Linked DNA regions of Rhinolophus ferrumequinum. The protein of the gene in region 2 purifies or fractionates together with the protein of the main gene of each other region. This does not show direct contact. Links are inferred from orthologs where the notes say so. Each region holds a gene or a part of one and is shown on either strand. Other genes may lie near its edges.

The links. Proteins that work in one complex are often made in the same cells at the same time.
Region 1: the proteins of NAF1 (region 2) and NHP2 purify together in Homo sapiens (affinity purification with western blotting; 3 studies listed by BioGRID and IntAct, with this or other methods). This does not show direct contact. The link is inferred for Rhinolophus ferrumequinum from reciprocal best matches to the Homo sapiens genes NAF1 and NHP2.

Annotation. Positions count from the first base shown.
Region 1 is NC_046307.1:4,933,552-4,938,517, reverse strand, and holds the start of NHP2 (H/ACA ribonucleoprotein complex subunit 2), read right to left. Parts: upstream 3,506-4,966; 5' UTR 3,415-3,505; coding exon 3,255-3,414; intron 3,176-3,254; coding exon 3,106-3,175; intron 1,312-3,105; exon of another isoform or gene 1,184-1,311; intron 792-1,183; coding exon 686-791; intron 208-685; coding exon 82-207; 3' UTR 1-81. UniProt on the Homo sapiens protein: Required for ribosome biogenesis and telomere maintenance. Part of the H/ACA small nucleolar ribonucleoprotein (H/ACA snoRNP) complex, which catalyzes pseudouridylation of rRNA.
Region 2 is NC_046301.1:53,286,124-53,291,089, forward strand, and holds the start of NAF1 (H/ACA ribonucleoprotein complex non-core subunit NAF1), read left to right. Parts: upstream 1-1,767; 5' UTR 1,768-1,941; coding exon 1,942-2,300; intron 2,301-4,966. UniProt on the Homo sapiens protein: RNA-binding protein required for the maturation of box H/ACA snoRNPs complex and ribosome biogenesis.

The sequences.
Region 1 (4,966 bases), on a different chromosome or scaffold from region 2:
GGGCAGCAGGAGGGTAGCCAGCCAGCTCGCCGCCAGACCAGCAGCTTCTGGAGCAGGTGCCCAGGTTGCCGCCCAGGTCCGTCACACCGATTGGGGCAGGGCATGCACCTCCTGCAGGCACTCCTCATAGGCCTCCTGGTACTCCTCGTGCGGCTTGACCATTATCACGCAGGTGGGGCGCTTGGAGCCTGCGGCTGCACCCAGGTCCTGCAAAAGACAGAAGGGCTGTTTGCCAGGAAGTCACAAACCCACCAGTCTAATCTGGCTCACAGATGTGTGCTATTTGGTCATCATTATATTTAAAAACATTTCAAATTGGTTGCCATCAATTAAACTCAGCAAACTTTCAAGTGGTCCAGCAACACTGGGTTTACATTCCCGTGTGGCAGCTGTGAAAAGGCTCTAGCCCAGCAGGGGCTGTCCCCTTCGGCAAGGCCTATGCTTTCCAGGTTCCTGCCATCCCCCCAGTCCCTGTGCTCTAGACCTGGCTCCTGATGTGTGAGGTTCCCAGAACACCCCCTCTGAGCACTGCACCCACCTAACAGGACTAGCATGGCCACAGCCAAGAAGCCGCCCAGGCCCGTCTTAGCTCTAGAGCCTGTACTCTTTCCCACTGGCCTGCTGCCGCAGCTCCTATCCCAGCCCCCTCCAGTGGGGATTAAGGTCAGGCTCATGGGCTCCTTACCGTCTTTGAAGGGATATAGATGTAGGGCAAATTCCGGTCCTCACACATAACTGGGAGATGGCAGTATACCTCAACGGGCAACGTGTCTCCTGCCAAAACCATGATCCTGAAACGGGAGAAACACTGTCATTTCTAGCTTGCTCATTCCCTCTTCAGTCAAAAGTACCACCTGTGGACTGGGCCTTGGGGGGTACAGACATGGGTAAGATGGCCCCTGCCCTCAAGGAGCCCAGTTATTAACGTGGGTCACCCAACCTCTGAAAGTGCGTGCAAATTTGTATTTGGTGACTGTGTTCCTCTGGAGAGATGATCTCTATTTTCTTTTTTATATTTTATTTATTTATTTATTTATTTTTGGAGGAGAAATAATATTTATTTTATTATTATCTATTTTCTTTTTATTTTGTTATTGTGTAGCAAAGGATGAAAAGGGAGAAGACCTAAGGTTAGAGCCACAGAGAGAAAGGCACAATGTTGAATAAGATGTCACAGAACAGTCTCTGTCCCATTAAGTGAAAGTGCCACTGGCACAGCCCCAGGGCAAGTATGCAATCAAGGGTTTTCTTTCAGCATCAGCTACCAAATCCTGGCCCCATTGCCTGGGAGAGGACCTGTGAAAGTGCTAAAAGAAGAATCAGGAGGCCACACTTGAACAGAAAGCTGAATGATGATGAATGTCTGCCAGGCAGCCCTGTGGGTGGGGGTGGGGGTGGGAGTGCAGGGGGCAGAGAAAGCATTTAAGGAGAATCAGAATGGCACCAGACACACAGAGGCTGGCTGATGGCAGCCTGGGATGGCTCTGGAATCCAGGATGGAGACGGGCAGACGAGGCTAGAGAGATTGGCAGGGACCACACACAAAGGCCTTGAGTGCCAGGCTAAGAAGCATGCACTGAGTCCCCAAATTGACAGGGCTTGCCAGATTCCTCAGCTAGGGCTTCTAGCTGGCAAGGTGTTGGCACTCTGGGGCAAGGGCCTCCAGAGCCCTGAAGACAGAAGGCAGAGTCTGTTCTCCAGGGGTGAGATGCAAGCACCACAAACACCAGGAAAGAGCTCTTGGTTCAAACTACTGGGTCTACACTCTCCTAGTTTGCCTTTTGCCTTGTGGGCTCTCCTCTGCAGGCTCCTCTGAGTAGCCTGGTGCTCCTCACACCTGGTCCTTGGCTGCCCTCTCAGTACCTTCTGACCTCATCTGTGGCCGTGGCATCAAGTGCCATCTATGTGCCGACAACTCCCAAATCTATTCTCTCCATCCTGGCCCTCTTCTAAGCTTGCAGCCCATATAACCACCTGACTGTTTGACAGTTTTGCTGGGGAGAGGGGTCACAAGTCTAAGAGGGACCTTGAAAACTTGCCTAAAACCAAACGCGATCTTCCTACACAAAGCCCGTCCCCTCCACTGCTCACTGTTTCAATGAGTGGGCCCTCTGTCTGTTCAGCTAGAACCCATACCTCCTCACTCCATGTCTGAAAATCCTCTCAGATCCATCCACTTTAGTTCTCTCCATCTTCACCATACCCAACCTAATCAAAATCATCCTTCACCTCCTCTAGACTACAGTAACCTCCTATTTCAATTTCCCCATATACTCTTGCACCTTTGATCCTTTCCAAAGTTGCCAGAAAAATCTTCTTAAGTTATAAACATAATTATGTCACTTCCTGGCTTTAACCCTCATTGTTGCCCCAAAGTTCTGAGTACAAAAACTTACGGCTTACAAAGCTCCATGAAAAGGTGGCACTCTGTCCACCCCTCCCCTCTCCTGCCCTGGGACCTATTCTGGCAGAACCCTTCCCCCCGGCACTAATCCCATATATTCAGATCTCAGCTACCCCCACCTATGTCAGGCTCCATTGAGCATCAAGTCCCCCCAGCAATATTTATTTATTGAGCACCTACAAGGTACCAGACACTTCTGGGGATATAGCAGGGAGAGGCTTTATCCTCTTCTCTCAAAGAGCCTATTGTCTGGCCTGACTGGGAGATGGAATAAGAATACAAATGAGTTTCAGATTCTGATAAATGCCAGAAAAGATGTAGGGTAAGGAAATCATTCTCACAAAAGCACTTTTTCTTCATAGTTAACCTATTACAATTTTTTACTTTGATTAAAATCATAGTGTCTGAAAGAGTAGAAACTCAATAAACAGTCGCTGAATGAAGAATGAAGCCGGGTCTACCCGAAGAGTTCGCTTATCCTATTCGCTTCCCCGGAATTCACTTTCCCCGCGGTGTCCCTTTGGGCTGGGTAAGTTAGGTGATGTATAGGTTAGCTGTGTTGAAGAGAATTTACTGACTGCTTGATTATCTTCTAATAGAGTCAGAGCACTTACCCCGATTTTCACCGAGCACCTACTAAATAGTAGGGATACCTTCATTACCGCTTGGAAATGCAAAATCAAGCGGGAGGGGGTTCTTACCCTTTCTCGCCTTTGTTGACAAATTTCTGAACCTCCTTCACCCCGCGCCGAATCTGCTTCTGTTTGACGGCTGCAATGACAGAAGAGTCAGTCCGCGGGCCTCGGCCCGCCACCCGCGCCCCCACGCGCCACCGCGCCGCCCGCCGTACCTTTCTTGATGCATTTGTAGAGCTTCCGCGTGAGGCGGCGAGAAGCCAGGGGCTGCGCGATGGGGTTCAGATTCACCAGCAGCTCGTGGTAAGTACGATCCCCGGAGGACGCCTCCGGCTGAGCCTCCTGCTCATCTGGATCTCGCTTTATTTTGGTCATCGCAGCGGTCGCGGCTACCGACTCCCCAGTAAGCGATGCACGCGGCCCAAGTCTTAGAAATCACTTCCCGGTCACCAGCTCTGGGGAAGCGTGTCAAACAGCACAACCAATTAGGAAGTGAGGGCTCGGACTCAGACCAATTGTTCCTGCTCAGCTTAGGGGCGGGGCTCGGGCTGTCATCCGCGGGCCCCGAAGGAACCGGAGACGTGGGCGGGGCCTGGAGGGAGGTGGGTCCTGGAGGGAGGCGGGATGCTGGGGAGGGACCCGGGCACCAGCTGGGGCTAGTCGGAGTTTGGCGTCACCTGTACGCTCTGGGAGCGGGAGGAGGCGGCGGTACCTGCGGGGCGTGACCACGTCTAAAGGGACAAATCGCTGCGTCTGCGAGCTGGGTGGGAGAATGCGAGGTCCGCCCAGTGCGATTCCAAACCGCGGTAGAATCTGCCCCCTTAGATGGGCAGTGCGCAACCTGAGCTGGTCCTGGTTGGTGTACCCCAGGTGCCAAGGTTCAGGTAAAGCCTGACACTGCTAATCGTTTCCTGCTTTCTTGCACCATTTCTCACACTCTGCTTTCACTTTCCTGCCGAGGGATGGATGGCCACTCAGGGAGCGCCTCGGTCTGGGCCGCTTTTCCCCAGGGAGCCCGAAGATCTCTCCCTCTTCCCGCAGGGATCTGCTCAAATGTTACTCATGGGAGGGGGTCCCTGATGACCACCTTATCTAAAATTGCAGTCCCCGCCGACTTCCCTCCCCCACCCCCTAACCTTTTTCCTCGTGGTTCCCACCGCTGCCTGGCCTCATAACACCGAGGGCATAGTGGTGACAGCTAGCGGGGTGAGGAGGAAAACTGCGTGGACACTGGGAACCGCACTCCGGAGTGGCGTGGGGACAGCTCTGAGTAGGCCCCCATTTTGCAGTTATTGTAGAAGATTAGTGGACAGTGACGCTGGGGAGGAGAGTAGGCCTAGACTGGGGTGGCTCTTGGTATCTCCAACATATTTCTTCCACTGTGTCTAGGAACACTGGCTGGATATTAATTAGATAATTGCTACAAATTAATTGCCTTTGATTATTCAGTGGAAGGCCTGCCATTTCTGTGATGGTGGAACAGCCAGAAAGTGGAACTTCAGAAGTCTGCAAGGTGGCCGTGGGATCACAGGTCAGTTAAGCCAACTTAAAATTTTACCTTTTAACCCTGCAAGCAGTCATTAAATAAACTACTAATAGGTTTTTAAATTTGGTATTTTAATAAGAAAAATCAGGATGCGATTCATCCTAACCTTAGACCCCAACTAATTTCACAAATATAAACACATATCAATTGAACAATGAAAATATGGTATATAAACAATAAAAAATAATTTGAAAGTAAAGTTTGTATGCACAATGTAACCAAAAATTGATCTTTTACATGTTTTCACTTTGGAACTTCTTGAGAAAAGATAGCTCTTCCTACGCTTTAGGACCAGCTTTAGGACTGGGGGTTGTGGTCCGCTTTGTCTGACTGCCCACCCCAAGCCCTCCCCGACTTGTCCCTGCTCCTGGGCCCTGCAGT
Region 2 (4,966 bases):
AGAAAAATGAAAGCCTTTGGCTGGCTGGAGGGTCATTCTGACTTAAATTTCTTCTCTCCTCCAATTTATACTGCGTATTTCTGCAAGACATTGCAACTGAAGTATCATTTTATTCAGAAGTTCATGCATTGTTCTACGTATTTATCAAGTATTTGTGCACGTTTATTATGTGTATGACAGGGGTCATTCTCTTGTATAAAACCTTAATTAATGCTCACATGCCCTAAATGAGATAGTATGTTTTCCACTTTACAGATAAGGAAAATGAGATTTAGGTATGTGGGGTTACCTGCCCAAGGTCACAGTTACACCAACAAGAAAACGGTAGAGCTGAGATTTGACCACAGATCTGTTAGCTGGGAACACGGAGGTCTGTCATTGCATTAGTGAGCAGTAGCTCAAGTTTAAATCCCTGCTTCTCTTTGGGATTTAGCCCCACAAGTCTTTGGATATATCTTTGGATATAGCCCCACAAGTCTTACTTCAGTTCCTACTACTGCTGAACTTGCATCTTGTGTTCCACATTTCAAGTATCTTTCTACTTATCTTCTGTGCCTTGGCTTTTTTGCTTCAATTAGATTGCAAGCGCCTCTGCAAAACCAGAGACTATCATTCTTGTATTGAATTTCTGTCAAGATCTACCCCTGTGGAAGGCACACAACAAATTCTCATTGAAAACAGGGTGCCCTCTGTATCTGTGGGTTCCACATCCGTGGATTCAACCAATCTCCGATAAAAAATATTTTTAAAAATGTTACGTTGTTGCTGATGTGTACTATAGAGTTAGGCGTATGATGGTTGCATCTGTGCTGAACACCTACAGAATTTTTTTCTTGTCCTTATTCCCTAAACAATGTAGTATAACAAACGTTTACACAGCATTCACATTGTATGAGGAATTATAAGTAATATATATATACTGGAGGACGTGAGTAGGTTATATGCAAATATTATGCCATTTTATGTAAGAGACTCCGGCATCCTGAATTTGGTACCTAGGAGGAGGGGTTGCGGTGGGGGTTTGAGGTGGTCCTGGAACCAATCCCCCTCCAGAGGGCTGTGACTGATAAAATCTTTAGCATCGTCCTTGGCACATATTCTTAACAAATAGTAACAGCGATTATTTATTATTACTGGAGGGGCTGATGCATCAAATTGAAGTTCTAATCGGGAACTATAAACTTCGGATCCCTACCTCAACCCTAAGAACTTTTTGCTTGTTTGCCTTATGATCTAGAAAAATGGTTTTCCAGGTTACGTGAGTACATTTAGTCCTTTCCCACCCTTTCTAAGGAGCAGTGTCAACTACAACACAGGCCATCACGCAGCAGCAACGTTGTCCATCATTATTACCGCTCTCTTCGAGAGTGCTTTAGAGGGGGTAAAAAATGGAGTAGTTGTAAATTTTTTTGAGATAAATGGTTAACGTGTTCGCTACCTTTCAAGCGGTTTCACTTCACTTCACTTTAATTAAGTTTACAGGACATGTTTGTTCAAGACCTCCAGGCTCAAGTTTCTGATACGCAGAGGCTCGCATAGTCATCTCCCCCGGTCCTACAACCCCTTAGGATATTCGTTTGGAATAGAATTGTCCCCGATCCAGCAATTGGCGATTCCACGCATCTGACTTGACGGTGGGAGCCGCACCGCCCCGGTGACGCGGGGAAGAAGGGCGGGGTTAGGAGGTCTGGTTTTCAAAGGTTCTACGGCCCGCCCCGCCCCCAGGGAGCGCAGTCGCGTCACGTCACGTTACACGCTCTCCCGGAAGTACCTCTGAGTAAGCGGTGGGGGCGTGTCTCCAGGCCGCCCCGCGTGTAGTTCCCGGAGAAACGCGGGAAGTGGGATCCAGGTACCGTTACCTCCACTGCCGAGGCTGCTGCATTCGCGCAGCGAGCCGCGAGCCTGGCCGAGGCCCAGAACGTGAGACTCTGTCTCGACGCCATGGAAGTAGTGGAGGCCGCCGCTGCTCAGCTGGAGACTCTGAAATTCAATGTCACCGGCTTTGGGGTTGGCCAAGGTCAGGCGGTGCAGTCACCGGGCTCCGTTCCTGTCCCAGAGCCACCGCCGCCACTACAGTCGGAGGAGGGGACTCCAGACGCTGGGCAGGCCGCGGAGACTCCGCTAGCCAAGGAGCAGCCGCCTGAACTCGTGCTCGGCACCGCGATCGGCGAGAGCTCCGCGCCGCAGTCGGGGCCAGAACCGCCACCTGGAGGGAACTGCGTCACCGGCACGGGCGCTTCACAGCTGGCGCAGTCCCCAGGCTTCTTGGAGATCTCGGACTCGGATTCAGAATCGGACAGGTCGGGTGCCTGCAGGTCCCGAAGATGCGGGGAGAGGGCTTGTGTAACTCGCGCGGGGAGCCGGAGCCTGGGGGCCGAGAGGGTGCTCGTGTGGGCCTGGGGGTGAGGAGAGGTCCCCGAAGCTCACAGCGCACGTGTTGACTAGCAGCTCGAACCGCCCATTTCTCTCTGTTGACTGCAAATCTTGCTGTGAATCTGAGCCTGATTAATAGTCCGCTCGCTCTTCCCTAAAATTTGGTAGTCTGAAAGATCCTATGTGTATATACATCGTATCATTTTCAGTTAGACTCTAGAAAACCTGAGGATATTGGATTATTTCTCTAGCTACTTAGTTTGGCGTGTCCCTTGTGGTTGTAACTGAGTTTTGTGTCAGATCTGACTTTTTCCCCCCCATGAAGTTTTAACGTGTGCTTGTGTTTTTGAAGCAGGTGAATTGAGGATTAAAGGATTCTGTGCTTCCAAATTGGCTCCTGACAATTTTGTTAATTCTTAGAATCCTTGTTGGGAGCATGTGTTCGTGAAATCAGCAAAACATTATCACTTAGTATTGTTGTATACTCTGGTTAAGTTTCATAAGACTTCCTCCCCTGACCTTCCCCCCCCCACCCCCTCCCGTGTCTTTTAAATATGAAACTTATATGGTGGGTGAAGACTTAAGGATTTAAGTGTGTAGGATGTTCCTTACTCACATTAAATGTTTACAAGTAGTATGTGAGTGTGTTGTGTGGGGTACAGAACAGAGGTGAACAGCAGTAAACATGATCCTTGCCCTACATTCTAGTGAGAGGGATGAAAAATATAAGTAAACATATCAATAAATAGAGTTGGTGAAAATTACCATGAGGGAACAAGCAAGGCACTGAGAAAGTATTAGGAGAACCCCACCCTTGTAGGACCCTGTAGCCATGTTAAAGTTTTTAATTCTAAGTACTGAAGAAGCTGTTGAAGAACTTGAAGCAGAGAAATGGCATGTGCAGGTTAACATTCTAATAAGTTTTGCTCTGTGGCGGAAGAATTGAACTGGGTTCAAGAGCAAAAGCAGAGGAGAGTGGAAGTAGTTGGAAAGATGTTGCATGGGTCCATGATATGACCATGGTTGTCTGGATTGAGTATTTTGAAGTCACCCTGGTCAGGCTTACAAATAGATACGGAAGTGGCTAGGCAAAGAGCCATCAGCTGGGTTGATTGTGGTGCTGTTTACTCAGTGTTTACTGAGATGGGGGCTAGAGATCAATAAGAATGTTTAATTTGGACAGTTAATTTGAGATTTCTCTGACAGCCAATTGGAGATGTCAGGCAAGCAGTAGTTTGATGAATGTAGGGTTTGCAGGACAGTTCTAGGCTGGAGATGTACATTTCAGCATCATCAGATTATCGTTAAAACTAACTTTTTATTATAGACATGTTCAATTTGGGAAAAAGTAGAGAATAATATCATGAATGCGATATACTCATCACCAAACTTAACAGTTTCTAATATTTGCTAATCTTGTTTTATCTAACATTTTTTAACCTGATAGTTTTAAAGCAGATCTCAGTCATCGTGCTACTTTACCTGAAAATTCTTTACTATGCATTTCTAATTGATAAAATACTCTTTATATAACCACCATTCGTTATCAACCTTACTAAATATTAATCCTAATTCCTTAATATCACCTAATACTTGGTCTGTATTCATATTTTTCTGGTGGTCTCAATGGTGTCTTTTAACAGTTGGTTTGTTTGAATTAGAATTCAAACAGTATTCAAACTCTGCATTTGAGTGTTACGTCTTTTAAGTCTTTTTTTCAGTGAAGTTCATATTTAAAGCCATGACGACAAAACGGTGGAATACCACAGTAGTATAATACATGCAAAACAATGGAAGTTTTCTGAGGAAGTGAGTGGGGAGGCATGCCAAATGTTGCTGAGAAGTTGAATAATATGACAGAAAGGTGTCCACTGGACTTTACAGCTGGAGATTTTTGGTGACCTTGTAAAGGAGTGGTGGTGATGGAAGACAATTTAGGGGTAAAGACTGAATGAGAAATAAGGGAGTAGAGACAGAATGTGTTAATCACTTTTCCAAGGTATTTTAAGGGGAGAAATGAGGCATCGATGAATGGTTAAGCATGCGGTGCAGAACGTTGGTGTGCTGATGGGAATGATTTGGGACAGAGGGAGCGATTCTTAAGCCAACAATGGTAGGAAGGAGTTCACTTGCAAATCGGATGGGTTCCTGAGCCAAGTGGTGAAATGGCCTTTGCCCATTTCCGGCTGTAACAGGAGGAATGATAATACTTACCAGAGCTAATGTCATGATTTCAAGGCCTTCATAATAAGCAATTTGAAAAAAAGTGCTGTGGGAGATAGGAAAGGAAGTCAGTAATGCTTCTTTTGTTGGTTAGGGGGTGGCTTCAGAGGTGGCAATATTTAAGATGAACCTATAACCGTGTTTCCCCGAAAATAAGACCGGACCATCAGCTCTAATGTATCTTTTGGAGCAAAAATTAACATAAGACCCAGTCTTATGTTAAAATAAGACCGGGTATAATATAATATGATACTGGGTCTTATATTAATTTCTGCTCCAAAAGATGCATTAGAGCTGGTGTTCCAACTAGGTCTTATTTTCGGGGAAACACGGAAAGAGAAATGAGATTTCTCTACATTGAAGACATTCT